Linked DNA regions of Tamandua tetradactyla. The protein of the gene in region 3 binds, or shares a complex with, the protein of the main gene of each other region. Links are inferred from orthologs where the notes say so. Each region holds a gene or a part of one and is shown on either strand. Other genes may lie near its edges.

The links.
Region 1: B9D2 (region 3) and TMEM216 share a complex: the UniProt entries of both Homo sapiens proteins name them as parts of the tectonic-like complex. The link is inferred for Tamandua tetradactyla from reciprocal best matches to the Homo sapiens genes B9D2 and TMEM216.
Region 2: B9D2 (region 3) and TCTN1 share a complex: the UniProt entries of both Homo sapiens proteins name them as parts of the tectonic-like complex. The link is inferred for Tamandua tetradactyla from reciprocal best matches to the Homo sapiens genes B9D2 and TCTN1.
Region 4: B9D2 (region 3) and TMEM67 share a complex: the UniProt entries of both Homo sapiens proteins name them as parts of the tectonic-like complex. The link is inferred for Tamandua tetradactyla from reciprocal best matches to the Homo sapiens genes B9D2 and TMEM67.

The regions. Positions count from the first base shown.
Region 1 is NC_135335.1:13,744,577-13,751,722, forward strand, and holds the start of TMEM216 (transmembrane protein 216), read right to left. Parts: upstream 3,002-7,146; 5' UTR 2,487-3,001; coding exon 2,384-2,486; exon of another isoform or gene 2,370-2,383; intron 2,308-2,369; exon of another isoform or gene 1,945-2,307; intron 1,824-1,944; coding exon 1,722-1,823; intron 1,186-1,721; coding exon 1,093-1,185; intron 1-1,092. UniProt on the Homo sapiens protein: Part of the tectonic-like complex which is required for tissue-specific ciliogenesis and may regulate ciliary membrane composition.
Region 2 is NC_135331.1:11,363,024-11,370,307, reverse strand, and holds the start of TCTN1 (tectonic-1), read right to left. Parts: upstream 3,013-7,284; 5' UTR 2,955-3,012; coding exon 2,735-2,954; intron 1-2,734. UniProt on the Homo sapiens protein: Component of the tectonic-like complex, a complex localized at the transition zone of primary cilia and acting as a barrier that prevents diffusion of transmembrane proteins between the cilia and plasma membranes.
Region 3 is NC_135342.1:22,440,778-22,448,755, reverse strand, and holds the start of B9D2 (B9 domain-containing protein 2), read right to left. Parts: upstream 3,013-7,978; 5' UTR 2,950-3,012; coding exon 2,915-2,949; exon of another isoform or gene 2,834-2,914; intron 2,742-2,833; coding exon 2,650-2,741; intron 1,912-2,649; exon of another isoform or gene 1,726-1,911; intron 1-1,725. UniProt on the Homo sapiens protein: Component of the tectonic-like complex, a complex localized at the transition zone of primary cilia and acting as a barrier that prevents diffusion of transmembrane proteins between the cilia and plasma membranes.
Region 4 is NC_135332.1:137,076,615-137,084,312, forward strand, and holds the start of TMEM67 (meckelin), read left to right. Parts: upstream 1-4,696; 5' UTR 4,697-4,741; coding exon 4,742-4,967; intron 4,968-7,698. UniProt on the Homo sapiens protein: Required for ciliary structure and function. Part of the tectonic-like complex which is required for tissue-specific ciliogenesis and may regulate ciliary membrane composition.

The DNA.
Region 1 (7,146 bases), on a different chromosome or scaffold from region 3:
TTATACTGCTTCTAACGCTTAATGTTACAGAGCATGAGGCAATAAACACTCCTGTATAGATTAAAATATTTCCATAGATTTATGGAAATTTTTTTAATCAGTTTTGAAAGTGAAATTGTTGGGTCTAAGGATATGAATTTTACATATCATATCCACCTAGAGTATATAAAAATACCTGTTCCCCACACCTTCTCTAATACTGGGTATCATAATTTAATCTTTACCAATCTATGAGTGAAAATGTTACTTTGTTGTTTTAGTTTGCTTTTTATTATTAAATTCTTTTCCTTAATAATTTATATGAGCCTTTTTTATCTTGTTTGTCCTATGTGTTGCAAGTATTTTTTTCTCAATCTGTGATTTGGCATCGTATTCAGAGATGGGATATTCTAACTAAAAAGGGACTTTCTCAGTATTTCTGGGGATATAAAAACGTGTCCTAAAGAGGTGGGGTTGCCATATGATCTTGCAACCCCGTTGACAGGAGGAACTGAGAGTGTGGACACAAATGGACATTTACTGGTGTTTATGGCGGAGTGTTGGCGATTCGCAATGGATGGAGGTGGCCTAAGGGTAAAAATACTGAGGAATGGAAGGGGGAGCTATGGTTCTGAGGTGGACAACTAAGTGGATGACCCTTAAGGACAGTATGCTGAATAAAATGTCAGGAACAAAAAGACAAAAAAACAAAAAAAAACTTACCCTAAAGAGATCCTTATTCAGAGAAGTAGAGGGGATCTTATTGAGTGCTGATCTGTGAAGGCATCTACTGCCTGGACTCAGAGTTACAGTGAAAACCAGTCTCCCAAAGCAAACCATTCAGAGGAACCCGGAACTCTTAGAGCAGTTAGGCAGCTGGGAAGGAATTATCTAAGCTCCCATACTGCTGCCCACCACTAGCCCTTACAGAGCAACAGACAGGCAAATCTTGATCCAAAATATAAGGCAGCTTGAAACTTCAGAAGCAGTAAGGGCATATCCCACAAATCGAATCTGATTGTGAGCCTGGGTTATGTACTTTTTCTTGTTAATCAAGTTACAGATACCAACTTATCTCATAAAGAATGGAAATATTCTCTGAATAATACTCACCAAAAAAGAGTCGAATGACTTCAATTCCAAGATAAAGGAAAAGCATCACCACATCCAGTATGAGGTTGGCTGTTGGATATGGCAATAGGAGACCTGCCAATAAGAAAGACATGGTTTGCAAACAACACATAACAGCACCCACAAGGACTCCCACACACTTGGGAAGAAAGAGATGAGTCTTATCAGCTTTCCAAAAACTAGTTAGTGAGAATGTAGACGCTATTACAGCTGTGGGATAAGTTAACTCATAGTGTGACTATGTTTGTTAGAGGGAGGCCCATTATTATGGGGTTTTATTCTTAATTCCAAAAACCTGTGGACACATCCACATGATCTGACAAACGTAGGCACACAGGCCACTAAATAGTTTCTGAGGGTCACCAATGGCCTTAGACTGAATTGAACAAAGAAAAGTGATGGGCGAGTCAAAATGGAGACTAATTCATTTCCTAAACTCAAGAAATTCTTACTGAGAGTCTTCCTACTTATTCTCCAGGAAACTATCTAATGAAGAGACTTCTGCCTTGCAGTGAAGAGAAGCTACAAGAGGCAGAAAAGAATGGAAATAGGCTCTGGGGTGAAGTGGGGAAGGGATATTGGAGCACGGTTAGTCAAGCCCCAAGCCTTACCTTTATAGAGAAATATGAAGAGTTCCAGCAGGAAATAGGTAGCATAATACCACCCGTTCAGAAAAAACAGGATTTCCAGGGGCGTGGAGGACAACCGTTTACCTGAAAAGATGGACACAGACAAAAGGGTTGGGCGGGGGGGGGGGGGGGGGTGTGGGGGGAGTTCAATCTCCTTTCCCTGCACCGTTCGGTGTCTAACTTGGGAAAACCCGAGGTCGCTGCTGGGGGGAAAGGCTGTTGGGTTGTGAGGGGTCTTCCTTCCCTCCCCATTTCTCCTCGGAATCAACCGCCAAACCCAACTCTGTCTTTCGGGTTCGGAGGTGAAAGCCAAGAGGAAGCTCAGAGGGTATCCCAGCCGACAGGCGCCGCTAAGATCTCATCCCATCACTATTCGACACTGGCCTGTTCAAGGTCACGCGGCGCATTCCTAACCGAGCCGGCCTGGAACAAAGCCAGCCAAGGATTTGGGGGTGTCTGAGACCGCACCTCGAGACCTTCGGGCTCTCAAGGTGGGTGAGGCTACAAAACCCCGCTTTGGACATGTGAGGAGCAATGTCTTCACCACCTGACAGCGGAGTGTTTAGGTCGAGCTCTGGGAGAGAAGGGAGGTCGGAGTGGGGGGAGACGGGGGGCCAGCGACTCACACACCTCCGGAACCTCACCTCGCGGCGCCATCTTCCGTCCCCATGGAAACTGCATACGCGGCAGTCTCCGCTCCGGGAGCAGCGAGGCGCCGCGGGAAGCGGAGGATGGAGCGGCCCGCATTGGCCTTTCTGCCCGCTCGCCGTACTCTATGGCTGCCCCGGGCGGAGCCGCCCTGGGTGCCGTCTGCGCGTGCGCCGGGAGGAGCCGTGGCTGCAGGTGCTGCTGGCAGAGAGCGCAGTTCGTGGGGGCTGGCGAGCATTGGCCTCCCGCGACGCTGTCGCCCTGCGTTGCTGCGCTTTGGGCAGGAGGGGCCAGTTGTGACAATGGATCCAGAGAATTGGCAGACAGATCCTAGCCCCGCGGTTCTCTTTCCTAACAACCGCCCGGGGACGGAGTCGGGGTGCCCCATGCTGCTCAGCAAACGCCTGCTGGGGTTTAGCCTTGGTCTTTTGTGCGGCACGTTTACGTACCAGGTAGTCAGGGACACTGAAAGGAATCGGAAGGAGAGCTTCTTGGGTTTTGAAGCCTGGTTCCGATTTGGGGCAGGGGAGTGGAAAGAGAAAGAGCTTTGAGCGGACGCAGGCTGACTTGACTGTGACTCCGTTGTCAGGGTCCTTGAGGACACATGGCAGAGTCGAAACAGCGATTTGAAGAGAGTGGCTAATCTTCAAGGAACAGTACTGGAGTCCTGGCTGGTGTGTGTGTGTGTGTGTGTGTGTGTGTGTGTGTGTAGGGGCGGGGGTGGGGGTGGGGAGCTGCTGTTGATCCCTGGGTGAAAAGAGGCAGTAATTGTTATTTCTCCAGGGCTTAAAGGGAAGGGGGCCTTGGAAGCCTGGAGAGAGTAATGTGTAAGAAGCAGGCCTGCCCAGAAGAGCTGTGACAGTTTGGAGGGTGGGTGGTGCAGTATGCAGCCCTGTACTCCTCTCCTCCACCTCGCAGGCTCTGATTTGCTCCAACCTGTGAGAATCAAACTAAGCTTAGCTCTCACAAAGGTGACGCAGGCAGGGAAAGGGGAGGGCTTCTGACGCAAGGCCGAATCCTTAATGGCCAGGGTCATTGAAAAGGTAAAACGTAAACAAAGGGGGAACCTGCGGCGGGAAGTTCACAGTAGTTAGATTATCCGGATAGGCTGTAACCTCTGGGGTAGCCGATCAGCCGAGAAACGGGAGGGACTGCGGGTCCGGCACAGGAATAACTTTCAGCTTCTGTGGTTTGGCTCCAGCCCCCCTTGTGTGTTCCTCTAGGCGCCCGTTCTTGCAAGATGGTGAATAAATTGTCTTCTCCTCCGCAATCGGATGAGCGTTTGTTCTCCTTCAGGTACGGCGTTCGTTCTGACAACTTTGGGGGCCCTTCCGGGATCCCAGGCTTCGCAGGAGCACCCACCCACCCCCAGGAGGAAGGGAAGGCGCACCCCGCTGATTGAGCGGTCTTAAACTCTGTCACTGGGGGCCAGCTGCCGACAGCCGGGATGCTTCGAGCCACCGACTGTGAACGAGAAAGAGGAGGGGCTGCCTCACAGTAAGCAAGCAACTCTGTGCACGGACCAAGGTAAGAAATCGGCTGTTAAGTATTGCCTGGGTGGTCAGGAAGGATCCTGATGAGTCTGAGGTGGAGTGTGTGTGTGTGTATGTGTGTGTGTGTGTGTGTGTGTGTGTATCTGAGACGCCCAAACATGTGCCGGGTCCCAAACCACCGTGAGGAAAAGGGGGCTGGAGACGGTGAAAGTGAAACAGGGATGAGAGAAAGGGACCTTGGCAAGACACAGGATGGGGAATAGAGGCAGGCGGCTTACCTGGAGAAGAAAGGGAGGGGGTGCTGGTAGACGTTCAGGGGACATTCCCCTGGACAGTCCATTAGGGAGAATGTTAAAATATTGGGCTGATAATTATGGAACAAAGGGGAAGGACAAAAAGGAAATGGTTAAATATTGTTGTTATATTATGACCAAAGAAAGCGTTGTGCTGTCCGATATATTCTGGCCAAAATACGGGGCAGATGAGGGTTGGATTTGTACAAACCTCGTGCTTTATGCTAATAAGAACCCTTTCTCGAAAGATGACTCGGATTATGCCAAGTGTTGGCTAAAGGGAAGGGAGAGTCCTCTTTATCCTGTAAAGGTAGCAGAGTCAGAGGCTAAATCTTTAGAAGCTAAAGCCTGGGATCCTTTATTGAGTCTTTCCTGCCCTGTGCTCCTCCCCCAGGACAGGGACTGTTGGACCCTGAAGGCCCAAGAAGACTAACATGCATTCCCCACCCCCACCTGCCTCAGGGAGCGGGAGGGGCAATCAGGGCCAACTGTTCCACCTGTGACAGTCCACCAACCATTGAGGAAGGAGGTGGAACAACGTAAGAAAGATGGAATTTTCCATTTCCGAGGGCTCCTGAGGGTAAAAGGGTGAGGTAGCATAGGCCTTATAAGTCGATATTCCCTCTTAGAGAAGTTCCTATTGGACCAGGGGAAACTGGTTATGTCAGTGTCCCCTTGACCAGTACAGAAATGAGGAACTTTAAGAAAAGAAATGAAATCGTTACTGGATGATCCAGTAGGGCTAGGTGAACAACTGGATCAATTTTTAGGGCCCAGCTTATACACCTGGTCTGCATTTACATCCTCATGGGGGAAGAAAGGGCACAGGTGAGGAGGGCATCTATGGAAAAATGAGAGAGGCAGCCCCCACCTGGACAAGGGATGATGGCAGCAGAGCAGCAGTTCCCTAATGTAGATTCCAACTGGGATAATAATGATGAGGAAGACAGGGTACAAATGAGAAATCTTAGAGACCTCATTATACAAGGGGTATAGTTGTTAATACCCAAATCTCAGAACTTAAATAAGGCCTTTGAGGTGGCCCAAGAAAATGATGAGACTCCTTCTGCTTACCTACAAAGGTTGAGAGACCAGGCAAAGAAATACTCAGGAATGGACCCTAATAGTCGTGTGGCCCGAGGAATATTAAAGGTCAGCTGTGAAGGGATCTTGGCCTGATAGAAAAAGATCTAGAAAATAGATGGATAAACCACTGGAAGAGTAATCTGGAGAATCCCAGAAAGTATTTGTGAGATAGGAAGACAAAAGATAAGCAGAAAGCTAAAGTCATGATAAGCACATGATGACCACATGGTCAAGAAGAGATTAGAGATAAAGCAGGGAGGAGACAGGCACAGGCAAGATAGAGAGTTGGAGCTAGAGGAAATAAAGGAGAGAGGAGGGCCCGGGACACAGCAGTTCTGTGTATCACTGTGGGATAACATGTTAAAGGGGAGTGGTTGAGTTTAAAGAAAGAAGGTCGGGGTGAGACCCCTGATGAATTTTGAAGATTGGGGAGGTCAGAGGCCCCTTGCCTCAAGAGCCCACCAGGAGACTTTGGTAAATCTGAAGGTGGGTCTATATTCAAGAAGCAATTACATTTTTGGTAGACACTGTGGCAGCTCCATCTTCCGTGCACCACATCCCAAAGGGGATTGAATTCTCTGGTAGCTCTGTCACGGTTTGGGGAGTAAAAGGCGAAAGGTTTCAAGTCCCCATTTTCAAACCTACTAATATCTGTTGAGAAGGGAACCAAATTATAAGTTCCCTGTTCAGAAGCTGGGAGTAATTTATTGGGAAGAGATCTGATAATACCCATGGGACTGGACCTGGAGGTGAGGGATGGCCAAGTAGAAGTTGTCTTAAGCCTTGCTTACCGAGAAAGATAAGAAAGGCATCCAAGAAAAAGTATGGGTGAGGGAGGGAAGTGGGGGAGTTGCACGTTTCCTCTATAAAAATTAAAATGTAAAAGGAAGGGGAGGTGGTTTGTCAAAAAGAGTCTCCCATCCCATTGAAGGGGAGACAAGGACATCATCCAGTCATCGAAGGTCTCCTTCGAGATGGGCTCTGGGAAACTGAATGTCCCCTTTCAGTAATCCCGTTCTTCCCACCCAGAAAGCAGCTGGTAGCTGGAGGGTGGTTCAGGACCTGAGAGCCATCAATCAAATTGTTCAGGTTAGACACCCCGTGGTCCCTAACCCTTATATGCTCCTATGATGGATTCCCTACCATCATAAGTGGTTCAGTGTAGTAGATCCGAAGGGTGCCTTTTGGGTCTGCCCTCTTACCCCAGAGAGTAGGGACTTGTTCGCCTTTGAATGGGAAAATCCCTTCACTAGAAGGAGGCAGCAATATAGGTGGATGGTCCTACCCCAGGGCTTCACAGAGTCCCCCAATCTCTTTGGGAAGGAACTAGAAAAAGTGTTGGGAAGGTTTTCTATCCCATCTGAAATTACCCTTTTACAGTATGTAAATGATCTGTTAATATCGGGTAAAGAAAAGCTAGGGCATTGCCCAGGCTGCAGGGGACCTGTTGAGCTTCCTGGGGGGCCAAGAACTAAGGGTATCAAAAAATAAAACTACAGGTTGTGAAAAGGGAAGTTAAATACTTAGGCCATCTCGTAAGTGAAGGGAAAAAAGGAAAGTAAATCCAGAGAGAATTCAGGCCATAATTAGATCGCCTCTTCCCTGGACAAAGAGGGAACTAAGGAAGTTCTTAGGATTAGTGGTGTACTGTAGGTTGTAGGTAGATTCTTCAGCCTCTCCAACTAAAGGGTTATACCAAAAACTGTTAGAGGAAGAGCCTGACAAATTAGAGTGGAGGGAGGGGGGAGTAGGAGCTGCAGAAGGGCTCAGACGGGCACTGATGAAGGCTCCTGTCCTAACTCTCCCCTCCCTCGAGAAACCTCTCCATCTATTTGCTACAGTAGATAAAGGAACAGCATTAGGGCTACTAACCCAACCCTGGGGAGG
Region 2 (7,284 bases), on a different chromosome or scaffold from region 3:
ATCAAGTAGATATCACCTTGTTGTTCAAGATGTAGTGGAGAGGCTGGAGGGAATTGCCTGAAAATGTAGTGCTGTGTTCCAGTAGTCATGTTTCTTAATGATGATTGAACAATGATATAGCTTTCACAATGAGACTCTGTGAATGTGAAAACTTTATGTCTGATGCTCCTTTTAGCTACTATATCAACAGAAGAGTAGAACATATGGCATAAAAATAAATAATAGGGGGAACAAATGTTAAATTCAGTTTGAAATGGTGGTAAATGAAAGCGAGGGGTAAGAGGTTTGGTATGTATAGTCTTTTTTTTCTCTATTATCATTTTATTTCTTTTTCTGTTGTCTTTTTATTTCTTTTTCTAAATCGATGCAAATGTACTAAGAAATGATGAATATGCAACTATGTGATGATATTAAGAATTACTGATTGTATATGTAGAATGGAATGATATCTAAATGTTTTGTTTGTTAATTTTTTTAATTAATAAAAAAAGTTAAAAAAAAAAAACAAAACAGTCCCCAAAAAGGCACAATGGGAAAAAAAAATGTGTGATTGAGGGGAAGTGCCATGTTTTGTCAATAAATACAATCCTTTCCTAGTCCAAGGCACAAAAGTTCTCCCCCTTAAATTTATGTGCTTCTCTCTAGCTTTGTAAAATGATGTGCAAACCAATGTAAATAAGAACATGCAGCTTCCCTGCCTTATGAATTTAAAATTATAATCCTGCTTTATTTTCCAAAACTTAAAAGGAAAAGAGCTACAGGACTACTAAAGAGAAAGGAGAAGTATTAACAATCCCACTTAGGAAAAAAAGTGTCTCCCTCTAGGATGTGAGTGCACTTAATCAGCCAACAAGGATCTGTTGACGACTCTCTGGGTCTAAGCAGCACTTGGCTGCTCTTACACACCACTTAACATCTACAAGCCTGGCTTGTAGAGCAGAGGACAAATGGGTACAAATGAACCAAGCTGATTCAAGATGAACAGTTACCACTCTTCTCTTCCACCAATACTGCCTGTGACCCATTCTGCAAATAGCTGTCCAGTTCTCTATAGTGGGTCAACTTCCTTCCTGCTCAACCACTTACCAGTCATATGACCTTAAATTAACCAAGTAATTGAACTACCTAAAAAATGAGGGTAACAGTATCCCCATCACAGGGTTTTTATGCGGATTAAACGAGATACATGGGAGGTGAAATACTTAGCACAGTGCCTGCCACTTAATAAAAGTTAATAAATGGGGCAGGCCACGGTGGCTCAGCAGGCAAGAATGCTTGCCTGCCATGCCAGAGGACCCGGGTTCGATTCCTGGTGCCTGCCCATGTAAGAAAAAAGAGTTAATAAATGAAAGTTATCATTACCATCACAAGTAATGATAGGTAAAGAGGGGTCCTTTAAAAAGGTGAAGATCAGTACAAATTCATCCTCCATCTGGAAAACAGTTCTGAATACAAACACTACTAATGATAATTCAAGAATAGTTTCTTGGGGACAAGATTCATTAGCAAATGGATTACTTACATAAAAAACACAGTTCCAAAAGCTTTAGAGAACTTCAGACATTCACTAGTCTGCTGTCTTCTGTCTCAATTTATCACTGATTTAACTTCCTTACTAACTCATCAAATCAATTGTTTAAATACAAAAGTTTTGTGTGTATATATTCAAATAACAAATGGATTTCACTGTACTTTTTCTTACATACTACTCATAATCAAAGGAGGGCTTCTGGAGAAATAATGGTTCAGGAACCAAAGTTAAGTCCTACGCTTCAAAGTCATCAGTCAATGATGACTTTTCTAGTTATTAAGTCTTACCCTATTTAAGTAAAAATCTTTTTCTCTTAAGACAGGATATATATATATATATTGCACACCTACTGCAGTTACTCCCAATCCGCACACAGGATTTACATTTTTATCATTTTGAGATCACAAACCCCTTTGAGAATCTGCTGACCACTATGGCCCTCACCCCAGAAAAATGCAGTCGCAAAATTGTGCACTCAATTTCAGGAGGTCATAGACACTCCCTGAAGTCATCTGTGGAAAATCAGATTATAAAATATTCACTAAATGTGTAACTCCCAGGTTAGAGGGTCGCTTTCTGAGATATATGCTAACTATCCCTAAATATGACTTCTAAGAAGGGGGCATAACCCCTCACCCCATATCTTCCTGCATCCAACTGGGTTTTCATATTAAAAATCAAGAGACATTAACGTGTCATCCTGTCTATAAAATCTGATGTTAAACTTTTGTTCCCGGCTCAGACTTTCAGAGGCTAAGCCCAATGGCCACGGAAGAACAAAAACCTACTTTCTGAAAAAAAAAAAAATTAACAGACAAGGGTCTCGACTTCACATTTAGTAAGCTAAACCTTCGGCATCTCTCTTTCACGTAAGTAAAAAGTTAAATGCATCTTCTTGATGAAATTTCATCTTTGGCTACACGGCCTCACTCAGTGTTACTTTGAGCATTAATTTGTCCGGTATCACCGCAAGAACTTTCAAAAATATGATTTTCCGCACTTATGCTCTCCGAGCCTATTTATAAAACGGGGATCAGTGTTGTTGGAAATGTTAAACAATGCCTATAAAACACTGAGCAGTATCTGGCACACGTAAGTGTTCAATAAAAGTTAGCTATCATTGGTATTATTACATTCTTCCCTAGGTTACCTCCTTCTAGCTGGAACACTCCGGACCCCAAAGAATTGGCTCGAGGTACCCACCATCCGTGACTGGGGTGGGCCTGGAGCGGGAGGAGGGATCCGGAACCCTGGGAGTGTCGATGGGCTCAGGCGACCGAGAGGCTCCGAGGATCGCTGGAGCTGCCCGGGTGAGGGTGGGGACCTCCGTCGTCACCGCCGGGGTGGCCCCGGCCCGGGCGCTCTCGGGGGCCCAGCAGCCCAGGAGTACGAGGAGGAGCGGCCAGAGGCCTCGCGGCCCCATCACCCAGCTGAACCCCCCGCGGCCGACGCTGCGGCCCACGCGTTGCTTGGCAACGGCAGGGGCCAGGCGCGGAGCATGACGGGAAAGGGCCTGTGAAGCAGCTAGGGTGGCGGGAGACCTGCTGGGGCGGGGCGAGGGAGGGGCGGGGGCGGGGCGAGGCCCACGGTAGCCGGGATGAGGAAGGGTGGGGTCCGCAGGGCGGGGCCCAGAGGCGGAGCGAAGCCGCCCAGACAAGGCACTTGTAAGTTTAGTTATGGTTTCCTAACCCCACCTTAGCGCCTATTTAAAATATGCGGATTTCCAGCCCAGGGGATTCTGATTCAGTAGGTCTAGAGAGTGGCAGCCAAGAGTCAGTATTTTTAATAAAGGTCTTGACGCAGCCGGTGTGCGGGCGGAGATTTGGGAGCCGCATTTCTGACGAGACGACATACGGGTCTTTTGAAGGGGTGCGTGAGGATCACGTCACCGTCGTTTTGGTGCTTCCCGAGAGGGGTCCGCAAATAATGTTTGTCCACCTTTTTGTGGTAACAGGGGAAAATAAACACAACATTTTCACAGACGGAAAAAAAACACCTGACAAAAATTAAGTAGGGTGATTTTTTTTTTTGAGTAGGTTGATCTCTAAGTCTTAAAAGAAAAACAAACAAAAAACAAACCCAATCTACTATAACTCTACAAAATGGTAAGGAGAACACAAGACTTAGTGATATCGGTCAAAAGTGGTGGGTTCTCTGCCCCAGGCGCTGAAATGATAAATTCCTGAGACGGGGGTGGGAGTGGGGGGTAGGGGGGTGGGGGAGGTATTTCAAAGAGAGAAAAATTATTGTTAGGTGCGAAATAGATGATCTCATGGCCTAGCTAAAAATCTGTCTCCTGAATTGCAATAATTCTGAAGGTTTTATGGTCCCAAAGGATGGTCAGGTTTTAGGATAATAAGCACAATGACTCAAGATGACAAAATTAGAGATAATCTAATTATTGAGCATGTGCAGGTTGATTACATCCTTAGTCAAGAAGGTATGTCAGCAAAATGGCGGTCTTAATATGATGAGGGGCATGATTTTTAATATTATAATGAGGTATAGGTCATGAATAGGTTGAAGTCTAAGCTACTGCACATGTCAGGCGGGCCCATTTTGGTGAGAGCCAGCTTCCTCTATCAACATAGCTTTGGAATTGGAATGGGTTAGTTCTGGGCTGACTCAGGACCCTTCATTCATAAACACTAGGGGCTGTCTTTAGTGATCATAAGACTCTGAAGTTGAAAAATGGGATACAGCTCTCACAGTTGTGAGAGTCAGTCACAAGGATTTTATAATCACAAGATAAAGACTGTCATTATACAATATTATCAGAGATAAGACACCTGGATTAGTAATTTCAGGTATTTCCTCTGTCTATTCTAATATACTAGAAAGTAAAAAGAAATATCTATATAATGATTTGGTAATCATAATCATTTCTCAATCCTAACTTTTCAATTACATTAGGATGCCCTTCTGTTGTAAACTGGATTATTTATAAAGAAGTACCTGAACCTGTGAATGGTGGGTATACCTTTGACACTCTCCTTGTATTTCAGATGTAGATGTGAAAATACTTATACACATCCTGATATTTATTCAAGAAACACAGTTTACCCATTCAGAAGAATGCCGAAATAGTATATATACTGGTATATTTAATTTATATAGCAAAGCTAAATTATCAAAGTGACATTGTTAGGGCCTTCCTGTGGCATTCCAGAGAAAGTGAATAAAAATATAATTTAAAAAAACATAAAATATCATTGGATCATTCAAATCTATAATACAAATATTTCCAATTTTTTTCTGCCAACTATTGCCTTAGTATCTGTGCCATTTTGAATCTGTTGTGTACCCTAGAAAAGCCATGTCCTTTAATCCTCATTCAGTATTGCTGAATGATATCTTTTTTATTATTGTTTCCATGGAGATGTGGCCCACCCAAGTGTGGGTGGTAACTTTTGATTAGATAGTTTCCATGGAGATGCGTTTCCACTCATTCAGGGTGGGGTTTGCTTACCAGAGCCCTTTAAGAGGAAACCATTTTGGAAGAATCTTTAGAGCCACCAGAATCAATGGAGTCACCAGAACTGACTGAGTCTGCATAACCAGAGACCTTTGGAGATGAAAAAGGAAAACACCCCCTGGGGGGGTCTCATGAAGCAAGAAGCTGGGAGAGAAAGCTAGCAGATGTCACCATGTGCCCTTCCAACTGAGAGAGAAACCCCGAACTTCATCGGCCTTTCTTGAATGAAGGTAACTCTTGTTGGTACCTTAATTTGGACATTTTCACAGCTTTAGGACTGTAAACTTGCAACGTATTAAATTCCCCTTTTTAAAAGTGATTTCGTTTCTGGTATCACATTCTGGCAACCTGCAAACTAGACCAGCATCCGACTGAAATTCTAGACCGTTTTTAATAACTGATGAAATGCTTCCTTTAAAAAAAAAAAAAAAACGGTATTTTTCAACACAGTTTGAAACTTCTCATCACATAACTTCTAAGTCCAGGACTTTTTAATTTTTTTTTTTTAAAAGGGAAAGAAGTCTTTTCTTCTAGACCTCTATTTTCTTTTTATTTCTAATATCTGTGAATCACTTAGTCCTATTTTCTGTTTTGAAATTTTAGGCTGTTTGATTGAATTTGATAAAGTGCCCTATGACTTTAACATTTTTGTCTTTATGATTATATGACCTTTGAGATTCTCTTCAAGTAAAATATTCCATGATTCCAACTGAGACCTGCTGCATGATTTGGTAACTAATCTCATCACCTCTTTCTGTCCAATCTCAAACACTCAGTAGATGACCTAAAAACAATCTATGACATCTTACAAAGTCAAAATGAAGGTTAAGTTAACTCAGATACATTTTGTAAACCTTAGGGAAATTGGAACGAACTTTTCATTTCACGGATTATCCATTTCTGTCAGGTTACACCCTCTTGAATCTGGGTTTTTTCATCTTTCTCACAATGCCCCCTTCTCCCTTCCTTTTACCCAGGCTTTATCATTATGATGTGAAAATAACAGGAGAGGCTAAGTTATTTTCCCATATTTTATCCAGCTGCACAGCATTTGGATTGTATATAAATGTTTGTGATTAAAAATGTCCATCTGACTTTACACCAAAAACATGGGCAACAAAATAAAAAATAGATGAATGGAACCTAATCGAAGTTAAAAACATTTGCACATCAAAGTATTTTATCAGGAAAGTAAAATGATGACCTACAGAATGGGAGAAAGTATTGAATATTCTATATATTCTTTATATAGAATATATAAAGAACTCGTACAACTCAACAACAAAAAGACAACTGTGTTTAATGTACAAAAGACTTGAACAGACATTTCTCCAAAGAAGATATATAAATGACCAAAAAGCAAATGAAGAGATGCTCATTGTCATCAACCATCAGGGAAATGTAAATCAAAATCACAAGTACCATTTCACACCCACTGGAATGGCTACTACTTAAAAAAACAGAAAATAACAAGTATTGGAGAAGATGCGGAGAAGTAAGAACCCTTGTACATTGTTGGTGGCAATGTAAAATAGCGTAGCTGCTGTAGAAAACAATTTGGCAATTCCTTAGAGAGTTCCGTATAGCATTACTCTGACCCAGTAATCCCACCTCTAGGTATATACCCCAAAGAATTGAGGGAAAGGACTTGAGCAGATATTTGCACATCGGTGTTCATAGTGACATTTTTCATAATTGCCAAGAGGTGGAAGCAACATCAAGTGTCCGTCTATACATGAATGGATAAACACAATGCAATGTGGTATATACATAAAATGGAATATTACTTTGCTGTAAAAAATGAAGTTCTGATACATACTACACCATGGATGAACCTTGAAAACATCAAGTTGAGTGAAATAAGTCAGACATAAAGGGACAGATACTGTCTGACCTCATTTATATGAAAACAATATGCAAATTCATAAAGTCAGAAACTAGAAGACAGGCTACCAGGAGCCTGGTGGGGAATGGGAAGTTAGTGTTTAATTGGTACGGGGTTTCTGTTTGGGGTGTTGGAAAAGTTTTGGCAATGAATGATGGGGGTGGAGGCACAACTTTGTGAATGTAGTTAACACTGCTGAATTATATATTCAAAAGTGAACAAAAAAAGGAAATTTTAGGTTGAATATAAGTTATCAAAAAGAAGACATAAAACTGTACAACTCAGAGTTAAACTTTAATTAAACTATTGGTTATAGTTAATAGTATAATTATAGTAATATTGTTTCATCTATTGCATTTATGCACAATGTTAAGATTAGGGAAAACTGTATGT
Region 3 (7,978 bases):
TCCTGCCTTTGCAACCTTGGGTGAGATAACTTTCTCTGCCTCAGTCTCTCATCTGTAAAATGGGTGTAAGAATAATACTTTCCTCATCGTTCTTTGAGAGAATCAGAGTTAATACAGAAAAAGCCCCTAGAACGGCACCTGGGAAATAGTGAGTGCTGGGTAAGGGTTTGATATTTTATCACTATTCCCACCCCCACATTAAAAATCCTAGTGCAAAGACTAAGATGGGGCTGAGGGTATCATCTATGGGGGCACAGTGGAAGAATAGCAATTCTGTTGAGGGGTGATAACAATAGCAAAAGCATACTGGGTGCTCACTACATGCCAGATACTGTATGAAGCACTTTAGGTAATGACTTCATTTAAGCCACCCTCTAGGATTCTTAATCCCCACCCATTCCACCCCATCCCCCAGCTCTCAAAGCCCTCCCCCACCCCCATCCTCAGCTCCCATCGCTTTTCCCCCTCCCCAACTTACAGCCTCACTGGTCCTATTTCTGTTCCCCAGTGTGCCGTGCTCATTCCCACCTCAGGGCCTTTGCACTTACTGCCCAGAAATTGCCACTCCTGGCTCTCCCTATGGCTACCTCTTTTTCATCCTTCAGGCCTCAGCTCAAGTGCCATTTCCAGAGGGGCTCTCCATAGCCCTGCTATCCAAAAACTTGTCTCTTCCACATCATCCCACTTTTTTTTTAATATGTGATCATTCCATTCTACATATATAATCAGTAATTCACAGTATCATCACATAGTTGCCTATTCATCATCATGATCATTTCTTAGAACATTTGCATTAATTCAGAAAAAGAAATAAAAAGACAACATAAAAATAAAACGAAAACAGAAAAAAAAAACAAAAACAATACACACCATACCCCTTCTCCTCCCTTTCACTGATCACTAGCATTTCAAACTAAATTTATTTTAACATTTTCATCCCATTTCTTGTCTTCCTAGCATTGACCACTATTGCAATCATTGCACTCATTTCTTTATCTGCTAGTTTTATTTTCAGTCTCCCCTACTGTGAACACTGGAAAAGCAGGGACTTTGTTCACTGGCCTATTCCCAGGATCTCAAACCCAACACACAGAAGGCTCTCAATAAAAGTTTGTTGGGTAAATGAAAAATCCTATGAGGTGAGTGCTAATATAATACTCTTTTATAGGTAAAGAAACAGGCTCTGAGAAGGAAAGTCACTTGACCATTCATTCCAGTAACATGTATTACACACCTGCTGTGTGCCAGGTGCTGCTTGGGGCATAGTGGTGACCACAGCAGACCAAGGTCCCACAGTAAACTCAGCTCTGTCTGACCATGGAGCCCAAGCCTTTGATCTGACTGCCCCTGAGTTCTCCTCAGGACTAACCCCCATCCCCCGCCCCAATCCCCAACAACTCCCCAGATTAGCAAATTATGTTAGTCGTTGCTCCCTTCAAGGCTGGCTGAGCAAAGCATCAGGCCCTGAGTCAGGCTTTTCACATACCAGCTCTCCCAGTAACCTATGGAGGGTGAATGCCACTCCCACTTTACAGATGAGGAAACTGAGGCTCTGAGAGGGGACAGCACCTGCCCAGGGTCAGAAAGCAGATGAATGGTGGGGCCCAGACTGGAAACTAGGGCTGTCTCTACAGGCTGCCTCTTATCTACTCTGAACTTCCAGGGAATCTCAATACCACACCACCCACCAGTGAGGTCACAGAGGACCTGGGGCCTGCAGGGAAAGTGACAGCCACAGCCACACTCATTGCATGGTCATTTACCTGGTGCCTTACAAACAAGACCCGTTCAAATTCTAATATGAGCCAGGCAAACCCTGCTTGCCAGACCACGTGCTAAGTGCTATTGCTATTCATTTAGTCCTCACAACAGCTCCATGATGTATAGGTTGTTATCATTCCTGTCGTACAGGTAAGGAAACTGAGGCAAGGTCACATAATTAAGAAGTAGCAACTGTTTTTGAACCAACGCAGTCTATGCTCTTGACCTCAACATGGTGACTCCTCTTAGCTGCTTTTTATCTTAAGAAACTGAGGCTGGGAAAGGGAAAGCCCAATGGTCCCCAATTAATTGATGGGGGAATTAGTACTTGAACCCAGAGCTGGTGGCCCTAACCCCTACACATACTGCCTCCGATGGGAAGGTGGGAAAATTGGGGGGTTGGGAGCCTTGCTGGGCCTGCCTCTGTGGACAGACTTGAATGACTGCCAGAATGGTGGGCTACCTTCACGGAGAATTATAAACACCAGGGGGTCAGCTCTCCTCTGTAAATATGGGGTAGAAACATCTACTTTACACTAAGAACTGTAAAGATAGCAGCAATTTGTTAATCAAAGAATTATTAAGATGAGGGAGAGTCTAAGGGCACCCCTAAGCCAGGGAGTGAAGTCCAAACAGAGTTCGGGCTGCGTAGTGTTTTGAGGATTGGAAGTGGAGGGGTACAGCCTACAGTGCCATATGCTTAAGAGGTTGTGTGTTCCGAGGGTAAGAGCCAGAGCCCTCAGCTACTGAGACAGCCTGAGACTCATGAGGATGGTGACTGGGCTTTGGGCGCAGACTCGGAGGGCAGATGGAAGATGAGGATCAGGAAGGAAAGCCGAGCCTCTGGGCTGGGGGTCTGGGTGAAGAAATGAACCGGGACCAGAATACCTGTATGGACGCCCCACTTGCAGAAGAGGCTACTTTCCGAGAAGCCAGTGGCCCCCTTGATCTGCCCGATCACGTGCACCTCGGCCATGGCCCTGAGAGGAGAGAATTAGAAGCACAGTGAGGTAGTGCATTATCTCCACATGATAGTTGAGGAAACTGGGGTCCGACAAGTACGTGGCAGTACCAAGGTTCCAGGCCAGATTCGTCAACCCCCTGCGGGCTTGTGTATTTAACCACACCCTTACTGTCACCCCAGAAGAGTCACCGAAAGATAGGCAGGCTGGGCGGAGAAGCTGGCATTTTAACTGTCCCACCCCAAAATACTTTCCTCCGGCTCAGTACAGCGGAAAGCCCCGCCCCAGGAGCGTAAGACCCCGCCCACATGGGGCAAAGCCCCGCCCCTTGCATGGATCGGCCCCGCGCTCCAGGAGGCGCATGCGTCGTTTCTGCATTTCTGGGCGCAGGACCGCCTTAGCCCCACCTCTCAGAGCAGCGCATGCGTCGTTCCGAACTCGGCGCACATAACGTTTAGGGGGTGCGAAAGTGTCAGCGGGTATTGCAGTCCATGGCGCTAACCTGTCCCTCTCTTAGCGGGCGCTGATTTCTCAGGCCTGTCTTCCGCCTCTCCAGGCTCCTTCCGGCAGCGAGAGAGCTGAGGCGGCGGCCTTTCCGCGGCGGCGCCAGCCTCCGGGTTCCCTGGTTGTTGCTGGGCAACAGCAGCCTGCTCCTCCCAGGCTTAGATCCGCCCTGCGCGTCGCTAATTGGTGCTGGCGTCCTTAGGGGGCGGGGTAAGGATGTGATTGACTGTTTTCTCCTCCCGTCTCGTTCCGGTTGGGGAAAACTGCGTCTCTCCTTCCTCTCAGACACTTGGGCTCGAATGGACGGCTGCCATCTTGAGTGTGGCTGAGGAAGTTTGCGCTCCAATTGTTTTATCCAGATATTCTCTCTCTCTCTTAGCTGATTAGAGAGTAAAAAGTGTTCAACCATTTGGAAAACTGGTCGTTTCTTATAAATATAAATATATGCCCAACTTATCACCAATAATTCCATTCTAGAGCTATTTAGTCAAGAGAAATGAAAGCACGTGCTCACAATAGATTTGTACAAAAATGTTTACTCCAGCTTTGTAAATGGCCCCCAAACTAGAAATAACTCAAAATTCCATAAAAGAATAGATTTTAAAAGAATTGTTATACTCTTACAATGAAATACTACTCAGCAATGAAAAGAAAAACTACCGACATATACAAAACATGTGTGAACCTCAGAAATTTTATACATGGTAGAAAATGTCCAACGTAAAAGAATATTTACCGTATGATTCCACTTACAGGAAGTTCCAGAACTGACAAACCTTCTTTACAGTGATAAAATAACTGCACTGGTTGCCTCCTGGGAGGTTGGGATTGCCTGTAAGAGGGCCCGGATACTCTCTTTTTTTTTTTAAATTTTTTAATTTTATCTTTTTAAATACCAAAGAACACCAAACAAGCGCAAGTATTCTATTTTGATCATTCCATTCTACATATATAATCAGTAATTCACAATATCATCACATAGTTGCATATTCATCATCATGATCATTTCTTGGGATATTTGCACCCAGATACTCTCTTAACAAAATAAGTGCATCAGTCCATGTTCAGTGCCCCCACCCCCCACCCCCCAAAGAAACACTCTCTTCCGTCCAGGACCACAGACCAGAGACTTGAGATAAGGTCAAGGGGGACATGCCCTCCAGGTCATTGTGTGCATCCCTCTGCCTCATAACTGGAAAGAAGTCCTTCCCCATTCGGAGAAACTCCAGAAGTTGGGGAGGAGGATTTCCTTCCATTTTTAGAGGTTACCCCCTGCCGCTTAAGGACGGATAAGTTCAACTTCCTTTTCAGAAATAGTCCCTCTTCCCCCATATTGCTGGTATCGAACAAGACCAGGGTGAATAAATGAGAAATGAGAAACAGAGCCACTGTTTATCTGCAAAAATCTCGTTTTTAAAGATTGGACTCCGCCAATAAGGTCTCCTGTGACCCCACCCGGGTCTAGTCTCAATTATCTCATCAATGCAAAGGGTGCAGGGAGGGTGGGCTAGAGTCAACCGTGTTCACCTGAATTCCTGCGCAGTGCCTTTCCCATCCCCAGTTTCTATGTCCACCCGATCCAGGACTCCAGTGAGAACTGATTCCGTATTTTTAGCAAAACAGGAACTTCAAAAGTTAGACTCACCAACACGAAATGATGGGGCAACATTTCAATATAACATTTATATAGACATAAAATAACTGAACAGGATTATCTCATTAATAGATGTATTTAAAAGCTACCATGGACGGGCCACGGTGGCTTAGCAGGTAAGAGTGCTTGCCTGCCATGCCCGAGGACCCGGGTTTGATTCTCAGTGCCTGCCCATGTAAGGAAAAAAAAAAAAAAAAGCTACCATTTAATGAGTTCTGCCTCTGTGCCAGCCTCTGAACTGACCCTATTACATGCATTATCTGCTTTAATCCTCATAGATATCCACCCGGTAGGTGATATTATAGGCCCCATTTAATATGAAGAAATTATGACAAAATCGTTTGCCTTTAGCCAAATTGATCATAGTTCTTTTCTATCTCTGTCCTTAAACCTTAAGTTAATTTACCTGTTATCCTGCCTGTCTTGATACACACAGGTATCGAAGGAGTCTGAAGGTTGTGCTTGGAGGTCACCCCCCACTTCATAACTTCCACTATCTAACTGTTCATTAAGTCCTATCAGTGCCCTTTCTTTTTTTATTTTAATTTTTTATTTTAGTTATTAAACATGCCATCATACAAACACAAACATTCTTCCCACAGGATCATTCCATTCTACATATATAATCAGTAATTCTCAATATCATCACAGAGTTGCATATTCATCATCATGATCATTTCTTAGAACATTTCCATCAATTCAGAAAAAGAAATAAAAAGAAAACAGAAAAAAATTCATACATACCATACCCCTTACCCTTCCCTTTCATTGATCACTAGCATTTCAATCTACTAATTTTATTGCAACATTTGTTCCCCCTATTATTTATTTATTTTTACTACATGTGTTTTACTCGTCTGTCCATGAGGTAGATAAAAGAAACATCAGACACAAGGCTTTCACAATCACAGTCACACTGTGAAAGCTATATCATTATACAATCATCTTCAAGAAACATGGCTACTGGAACACAGCTCTACAGTTTCAGGCAGTTCCCTCCAGCCTCTCCATTACACCTTAACTAAAAAGATGATATCTATATTATCTGTAAGAATAATTCTCCAGGATAACCTCTCAACTCTGTTTGGAGTCTCTCAGCCATCGACACTTTATTTTGTCTCATTTCTCTCTTCCCCTTGTGGTGGAGAAAGTTTTCTCAATCCCTTGATGCTAAGTCTCAGCTCATTCTAGGGTTTTTCTCAATCCCTTGATGCTGAGTCTCAGCTCATTCTAGGACTTCTGTCCCACGTTGCCAGGAAGATCCACACCCCTCTGGGAGTCACGTCCCATGTAGAGAGGGGGAGGGTGGTGAGTTTGCTTGCTGTGTTGGTTGGAGAGAGAGGCCACATCTGAGCAACAAAAGAGGCTCACTTGGGGGTGACCCTTAAGTCTAATTTTAAGTAGGCTTAGCCTATCCTTTGAGGGGTTAAGTTTCATATGAACAAACCCCAAGATTGGGGTCAGTGCCCTTTCTTAAGTGTTTTTTTTCAGTTGATTTCTTCCCCACTGGTTTTGGTTAGTGATTACGAAAATGGACTCCACAGGTCAACTGCTTGCATTTAAGTGATGGCTCTGTCCCTTTCATGTGGAATAGTTTTGCCTATTTTTTGGTACATTATATAAATGAAATCACACACAGTATATATTCCCTTGTGTCTGCAGTCTTTTGCTCAGTGTTTTTATGAAATTCATCCACACTGTTGCATGTAGCTGTAGCTCTTTCTTTTTCATTGCTGTATCGTTTCTACTGTGTGAAGACACCACTAGTTCTGCATCCTACCATTGGTGGGAATTTCTCTTTTGGTGGACATGGTCCACAACTGTTGGAGTGGAATTTCTGAATCACAGGACATGTTCAGCTATAGAGGAAGCTGCCAAACAGTTTACCAAGGGGTTGAACCAATTTGCTCTCCCAGTGGCAGTGCCTTCGTGGTTCCCCTCTTCCACCAGCCGTTGGTATTTCTCTCTTTTTCCTCTGAGCCTCTCTTTTTCCTCTGATGGGTGTGTGTTGGTGTGGCATTGTGCTTTGCTGATGACTAGTCAAGCCCCCCTTTTTTTTTTAATTAATTTTATTTATTAAGCATACCAACTGTGCTGGTTTGAAAGGATGTATGCCCCCAGAAAAGCCATGTTTTAATCAAAATCCCATTTCATTAAGGTAGAATAATCCCTATTCGATACTAAACGTTTGAAACTGTAATCAGATCATCTCCCTTGATGATGTGATTTAGTCAAGAGTGGTTGTTAAACTGAATTAAGTGACGACATGCCTCCACCCATTTGGGTGGGTTTTGATAAGTTTCTGGAGTCCTATAAAAGAAAAAACATTTTGGAGAAAGAAGGAGATTCATAGAGAGCAGAGAAGAACGACATAGCCATGAGAAGCAGAGAGCCCACAAGCCAGGGACCTTTGGAGATGAAGAAGGAAAATGCCTCCCGGAGAGCTTCATGAAACGGGAAGCCAGGAGAGAAAGTAGCACATGACGTCTTTCTCGCCATGTGCCCTTCCAGCTGAGAGAGAATATCATCGGCCTTCTTGAATCAAGGTGTCTTTTCCTGGATGCCTTTGATTGGACGTTTCTATAGACTTGTTTTAATTGGGCATTTTCTCGGCCTTAGAACTGTAAACTAGCAACTCATTAAATTCCCCCTTTTAAAAGCCAGCGGGATTCTGGTATATCGCATTCCGGCAGCTAGCAAACTAGAACACCAACATACAAACATAAACATTCTTACCATATGATCATTCTATTCTATATATATAATCAGTAGTTCACAATATCATCACATAGTTGTATATTCATCATCATGATCATTTCTTAGAACATTTGCATCAATTCAGAAAAAGAAATAAAAAAACAGAAAAAAATCATAGATAACATACCCTTACCCCTCCCTTTCATTGATCACTAGCATTTCAATCTACTAATTTTGTTGTAACATTTGTTCCCCCTATTATTTATTTATTTTTTTTCCCAGTTTCTATTCACAAAGAAAAAGCTCCAGTCCATCTTTTAATTTTTTTTTTGAAAAATTCCTGACATTACAGAACTAAACTGAAATGTATTAATATTCCACTCTTACATTTCCATGACAA
Region 4 (7,698 bases), on a different chromosome or scaffold from region 3:
TTTTTTGTATTCCTCTTCACCCTGGATCTCAATACCTACTTGCTGTTGAATGCCAAGGACATAAGAATAAGATTTCTGCCCTACTCACTTAGGCAATGCTACCCCATGGGTTTCAAAATAGACCCCATATCTTTAAGGATGGTTTAGCAGCAGACCTTACTAACCTCCAGTTGCCTCAAAGCACAGTCTGACATATTCCTAGCATGAAAGTGGATCTTATTTGAAGTTAGTTCTGACTACAAGCCCTAGATGGATATAGAAAGTTATAGAAAGTTTGTGAAAGTATATTTTGTTTGTCGTAGGGCATTGCTATCAGTCCTGGATGGATATGGAAAGATGCAGAAGGTTTAAGCAAGTGAATTTTGTCGTCATTGCTGACTACAAACCCTGGATGGATGTAGAAAGTTGTAAAAATTTTCTCAAAATGAAAATTTAAGAAAGTAGGTTTTGTTTATAATCACTGCTGACTATAAGCCCTATGTATAAAGAGTTATAGAGGGCTTTTAAAAATATGTCTTGTCATAATTAATGCTGCTCCCTTAACCATCTGAATATTCTATCTATATGTTTATACTAACCTTATCATCCTTTATTTCAAAAGATAAGTTTTCTTACTTTTAAAAGAACTGTTGCAAAAGATTTGTTGTTTCACCTTGTGAAACTGAGGGGTTAAAATCATATTAAATATAATAACTAAGAGAGATTTTCTATCCTTTTGTTAAGTAAATTTATGTAAGTTAAATGTTATTCATATATTTACAATTTTATAAGATTCCTAAAAACTTAACAATGTTCTCACTGTCCATGTTTTATCCTGATACTGATTTGCATGATAGGAAAATTTATAGATCATTAAAAACAACTTAATTCAGCTTTATTCAACATGGAACCTAGAATAAAGAATAAAATCTTAATCATAAAATTAAAAAAAATATTTGCAAAGTCCCTTAAAGGACTAGAGAAAAATGTGAAGCTATTTAACTTCCCCACTTAGGGAATTCTTGCTATTCTCCTATGCAATAAGGGACCTGTATTTAATAAGCCAAGCCCTTGATCTTGAGGCTTTCCCTTATTTGATTTATTTCTATAATAGCAAAGTTAAGCCTTCTTATAACTAATGCCTATAACTCATCCCCAGAGATCCTCTTTTATTGCTCAGATGTAGTATCTCTCTTTAAGCCAAATTCTGCAAATAAACTCACTACCTTCTCCCTTACATGGCACATGACTTCCAGGGGTGTAAGTCTTCCTAGTAACATGAGGCAACACTTCTAAAGAAAGTCTGACCCTGTGTTATAGAATTAATTGACCAAAAAAAGAAAAATGAAATTCCAGGGGCTAAGAAATTTCAAATAGAGATGAGAAGTCATTCTAGACATTTTTATTATACAAATTTCAGCCAGAAATTGCAAACTGCCACATTAGGACAAGCCCCAATCAATAATTTTCCTAAAAACTCTAAATACTCTGAGCTCCATCTTGCTCCTGCTTCTGTTCAGACCATGTATACAATTTCTCACCCAGTTTGTTTCTTCCATATTAAAAGCCTTTCACAACAAAGTTTTCCTCACCAGAGGCTGCATGCCTGTTCCCCACACTCAACCAGCCACTCTCAATAGCATAGCCAGAGACTTTTATGCTAACACAAGTAGGGCCTGTAACCCCACTGACAGCTTGAAGCAGCTATAAAAGATGGACCATTGGCCCAAATTCTCTTAAGGGAGCTAGGAAACCTCTGAGGGGGAAATGAGGTAGGGTTAGAATTAGGGTGGTAACTGGCTAAGCACAGGGAAAACTCTAAAAAGCAGTCAGGCTTCAAGGTGGAAGATATCTCTGAGAAGAACAGCAATAAGTAGCACCTGGAGCCATATGACCTCTACCTGAGTAAGTCATTTACAGAGAAGGGTGGAGTCAACCACCCAAATGCACCACCCTGGAGAGAAGGGAGGGTAGGAGAAAGAGGCCTAAACAAAGAAGGGGAAGGGGGAGTAAGTAAAGCTAACCTATAAAAGTAGATTGCCTCACATTGTGGGGGCCTCTCGCCTCTCACCCCTCTTTTTTTGTAAAAGTGTCTGCATTCTCCTTGCCTGCATGTACTCAATTTTCTGCCTGCTTAACTCTTTGGGCTGTGCCCTTGAATTGTTTCTTGCGGCATGGCCAAGAACCTAGGAAGCCGAATCTGGCAACTGTGATTTAGCTAATCACAATTTAGGATCAAATGAGATATTACACTGCCTGGGTCATAGAAAACCAGCAATTACTATCATTTATTTTCGTTATCATCATGGTTCCTGCTACAACTAACATTTTAAATAATTCTCATATCTTTAGTTGCAACCTGTTTTTATTTTTTCTGTAATCTATTCAAATAATGTTTTCTCAAGAAACATTGATCTACCCCAGGCATCTTCTATCTTCCCTTAGTTTCACAACCATCAACAAAGCCAACTAAATCAGAAGCTTGGGAGTTATGCTGGACTATTTCTGTTTCTTTATTTCCTATATCCAAGCTATAAAGTTCTCATGATTCTTCCACTTCAATAGCTCTTTCATTCATCCTCTCCTACCTCTCTCTTCTTTCATTGCCCTAATTTAGATTCTGGATTTCTGCTTTAGCAGTCCAATTGGTCTGTAACTCTAGAGTTTTCTATGTACTTTGTCTCAGGATTACATTTTCTAAATTGCAAATCTGATCAGGTTATTCCTTAGCTTAAAGTTTTAACAAGCTTCAAACCACAGTAGGCAAATATAGGCATTCAAGAGCTTTCATTTTCATTCCTGCCTACCTTTCCAACCTCATCTCCTGTCACAGCCCATATATATTCTGCACCTCAGGGACATACAGGTACATGTTTTCCTCCTGTGTGCCTGCTCTCTTATACCTCCTCAGGGCCAGGCTGCCTCTAAGCCCATGACTTGAGATCCTACACAAAGGGTGATGCTGATGCTGTGGGACGCTGGCCTTTCTGCTGAGATGCAGGGTGCTGTTGGGCTCCTGCCTCTGAGGGAATGGCACCTGGGTCTAATGGGCTACCAGCTTCTGCTGCTGGCCTTTGAGGAACTAGAGTCACAGAAAGACCTGCCCCAGCTGAGGAGGAACCTGAGATGGAAGCTCCAGGCCTTGGGCTCCGCTGGGGGCCTGAAGGGCGGTGAGGGGACACACATCAGGATCAGGGTGGTCCCCCCATGAGGTATGGGCAGTTTGTACTTTGGCTCCCTCTGCTTGTTTTGGTTTCTTATTAAAGTCCTTTCCTCCTCACCCACACTCCCAAATCTACAATATCTCTTCCCCTGTTATCCCTTGCACACCCTATGCAGGGTTAATCCCAACCTCCATTTTAATAAATGGAGGAGCTCTTCTATGGCTTTAATTATACAGAAGACAAGGAGTAAATATTAGTGCCCTAATCACTTCCACAAAGCATATAAGAATATATACTTCATCAAGGAAGACTAGATTTGAAACCCACCCATAGCAAACGTTTGCAAATTAATCCCAACTATTTTGACCATACCCTACCTGAGTCCCCATTAATATTTACATGGCCAAATATTTTTTAAGTTGTATTCAGATAACTGATTTCCACTTCAAATTAGACACTTCAAATAACCCAGTAATTACTCAAAAATATATTTAGACTTCTTTAGAAACAGCTTTTCAAAACACATGCCTGCTATGTCATAGGGATTAGTGAGTGGGTGAATGCTGGTCTTTTGGGAAAGGCCACATTGAGGAAAAGTAGGCCTAATGGTGGTTAATGATTAAAGTTATTAACTTTCCTAGATGTATTTTCCACATGAACTAAGAATCCTTAACTAGTGACAAATCATCATTTTTATTATTATGAAATTGTTTTTTAAGCCCAAAGTCATTTCTAGGTACTATTGATAGATGAAGCAGCTTAAAAATATGCCAGGTGATTTGATTGGAGGAGAGAGACAAAATATAACTGTCAAATTAGAAGCAACAAAAACAAAAATGAGATTTAAATATAAGGAGATTAGTTTTTCTTTTGCTATCCATAAATTGGCTCTGAAAGTAATTCCAAAATGTTTTGAGGTTAACAGCCTCCAAGGATGACTGCTTTGAAAGACAACATTCATATATGTGTACATTTGATTTTTTTTAAATAGGTTTCTCCTTTATTTATTAACAAGTGGTGTAAAAAAGATGATCTTATTTTATTTACATGGTTTCCTATTCTTCAAACAAGGGAAGTAGAAAAACGTCTGGCAGGAAAGATTTTTTCTTAGTGCTTGAGCCATAGCAATGCTCCAACATTGCATACTTTTAAAATGTTATCCACAGAACCAAATACACGTTGGAATATCTTCTTTGACGTGAAATTTGCTTAGTGTGGATACATTCTGATGGAAATATTTAACAACATTATCGGAAAACAATACTTCCCCTTAATTTATGTAATGCAATCAGATATTATCATTCTCGTTCTATTTCCGACCCCCTAAATCGAATGAGTCGCTTCTCAGAGTTTGAAACAACATACTTTATTATAAGACTTGCGAGCCCTTCAGGCTCTAGGGGGAGTCTGATTTTAACCCAAGGTTTTCCACACCCGCCGGCTATGTTTGGTAACCTAGCAACCAGGCTCCGAAACGAATCCAAAATGCGAGGCGGGGATGGGGGAGGTGTGACGGGGAAGTTGTCCAATCAGCATCGCGGATTCGTCGCAGAGACCGATGGGGTGCAGAGGGGTAGACTGCTTCAGGTATCGGCACCATGGCGACGGGCGGCTGTGGGGCTGGGTTGGCAATGGCGGTTTGGTCCGCTTTGTCTTCGCCCACTGTGACTGCGTTTCTCCTTTTGGTCCTTCCGCGCGTCTTGCAAGCCCAGACCTTCTCTTTCCCCTTCCGGCAGCCGGATACTTGCGGCCACAATCAGTACTTCGATATCTCCGCGCTTTCCTGTGTCCCGTGTGGAGCCAATCAGAGGCGGGACGTCCGAGGTGAGACCTTTTGGGATGAGTTCCGGCAAAAGTAACCCTTCCTCCTTGGTGCTGTCCTTAATCCCGGCGTCGCTGAAACGCCTATTTTTTTAATCGGCGGGAAGAATATATCAGAAAAGTTAACCGCCGACGACTGAGGGGACTGTTTCCTTGGAGGATTGCTAATGAATTTGGGGAACCCGGAGTCCGCTACCCCGGGAACAGTTCTGGTTCTTCAATTTTCGGCACTAATGCCTCTCCCCTCATCCGGAGGTCTTTAGATAGCACCTGGAAAGCAGCCGAGAGAGAAAAAAAGAATAGAGAAGGTGAGACGCAGAGGAGTAGATGACAAGAAGGTTTGACAGGAGATACACATTTTGCAATTGTAATCTTTGACTGCCGTTTATCTTACTTTTCAAATCCCAGAATTTAGGGCTGGGAGGGATTGTGACTATGATCAGATCCAGTTTCCCCGTTTTACAGATAAGTAAATTGAAGATCTTCTGAAGAGGTTGTAATATCTTCTTTGCAACCTAAATTGAAGAAGTGAAGAACTCGTGTCTATTTGTCCTCAGTCTGAAACTACATATTTCCACCATACAGTGTGTCCTTAATTTAAATTTCATTAGGACTTAGCCCTTTGTATTGTTGAGTAATACTAGTTGCTCTTTAATATTTCTTTAGATTAAGCTAATTCATTTTTTGTCTCCTTACTTCCATCATTTGTCTTAGTTTGCCTCATGGACACTGTTCCATAAATCTCCCATATTCTAAATTCTCAAATATTTTATCTTGATTTGGTTATCCATGTGTATTGGTTTGCTAAAGCTGCTAGAATAAAATATAACAGAAATTGAACAGCTTTTATAAAGGGAATTTATTAACTTACAAGTCTACAATTCCAAGGCCATGAAAATGTACAAACTAAGGTGTCTTGAGAAATATACCTTGCCTCAAGAAGGGTGGATGGGTCCAAAACACCTCTGTAGGCTGGGAAGGAATGTGGTTGGATCTGTTGGGCTCTCTGGCTTCTGGTTTCAAACAGCTTCCCCAGGTGGCATTTTCTTTCCGTATCTCCAAACATCTGGGTCTCATGTTGGCTCTCACATAACTGTGTTGTCTCTGAAGCAGCTGTTGTCCAAGCTCAGCATCTGAGCTTTCTCTAAAATGTTTCCCCTTTTAAGGGACTGTTGTAAATTAATCAACACCCACCTTGAAAGGGCAGAGTCACATCTCCATCCAATCAAAAGGCCACACCCACAATTGAGGGGGTCAGTCTTCATGGTAACAATCTAACCAAAGGTTTACAATATTGAATCAGGATTAAAGGACATGGCTTTTCTGGGGTACACACTTTAAAACAAGCACACCATGGTACTAAGATGGTACTTCTGTCATCTTCAAATTTGATATATTTTCACTTGGATTATTGAACAAGACAGGTCAGGACACTCAAGTAAGGAAGTGTGAATGAGAAAACATTGAAGAGACTCTAAAGGTGTAAGGCATTAGCTTATAATTACAAATCCAGATATTGCATGCATTGTACTACAGAGACTCCTATGGGTGCTGTTTTCACTTACTGCCCTTATAGGATGCTACACCTACCTATTCAGCAAGTTGAGTAGTGTTTATAATGTTCACTATGTATCCAAGTTGAGGGAAACAGTGATTCCGTGAATTTTTTGAATCAAGGTAATTCATTCAATCTATGTATATGGATGGGTGACATGGAAATGTAAAGTTACCCACAGAAGTTTATCAATAATCTTATTTATAGTTTAATTATGCTGGTGCTTAAATTGGTAGCAAACATAATACCCACTGTGTGCTCAACCCTGTTAAAACCCTTTACATCTAATAACTAGTTTAATACTCATTCTGACCCTTTGAGGTAGGTACTAATACTACCCCATTTTGCCAAAGAAGCAGCTGAGGCACAAAGAAATTAAGTAGCAGCACTAAAATTATAACCTAAGGAGTATGTTTCTGGACTTGAACCCATGCAGTATTGGTTCCAGTGGCCTCGGTCTTTTTTTTTTGCTTGGAAGGAAAGGAACTAATGTCTTTTTTTAAAAATTTATTTATTTTTTATTTATGATCCATAACCACATACAAAGACAAGCATTCTTATCATATGATCATTCTGTTCTTGTTATATAGTCAATAACTCACACTATCTTCACATAGTTGTATATTCATCATTATGATCATTTTTAGAACATCTGCATCAATTCAGAAAAAGCAATAAAAAGAAAACAAAAAAATATTCATACATACCATACCCTTTACCCCTCCCCTTCACCGATCACCAGCATTTCAATCTACTAAATTTATTTTAACATTTTTCCCCTTATTATTTATTTATTTTTAATCCATGTGTTTTACTTGTCCGTCAATAAGGTAGACAAAAGGAGCATCAGACACAAGGCTCTCACAACCACAGTCACACTGCGACAGCCATATCATCATACAATTATCTTCAAGAAACATGGCCACCAGAGCACAGCTCCACATTTCCAGGATGTTCCCTCCAGTCTCTCCATTTCACCTTAACTAAACAGGTGATATCTATTTGATGCTTAAGAATAACCTCCAGGATAACCTCTCGACTCTGTTTGGAATCTCTCAGCCACTGACACTTTATTTTGTCTCTTTTCACTCTTCCCTCATTTGGTGGAGAAGATTTTCTCAATCCCTTGATGCTGAGTTCCAGCTCATTCTAGGATTTCTGTCCCACGTTGCCAGGAAG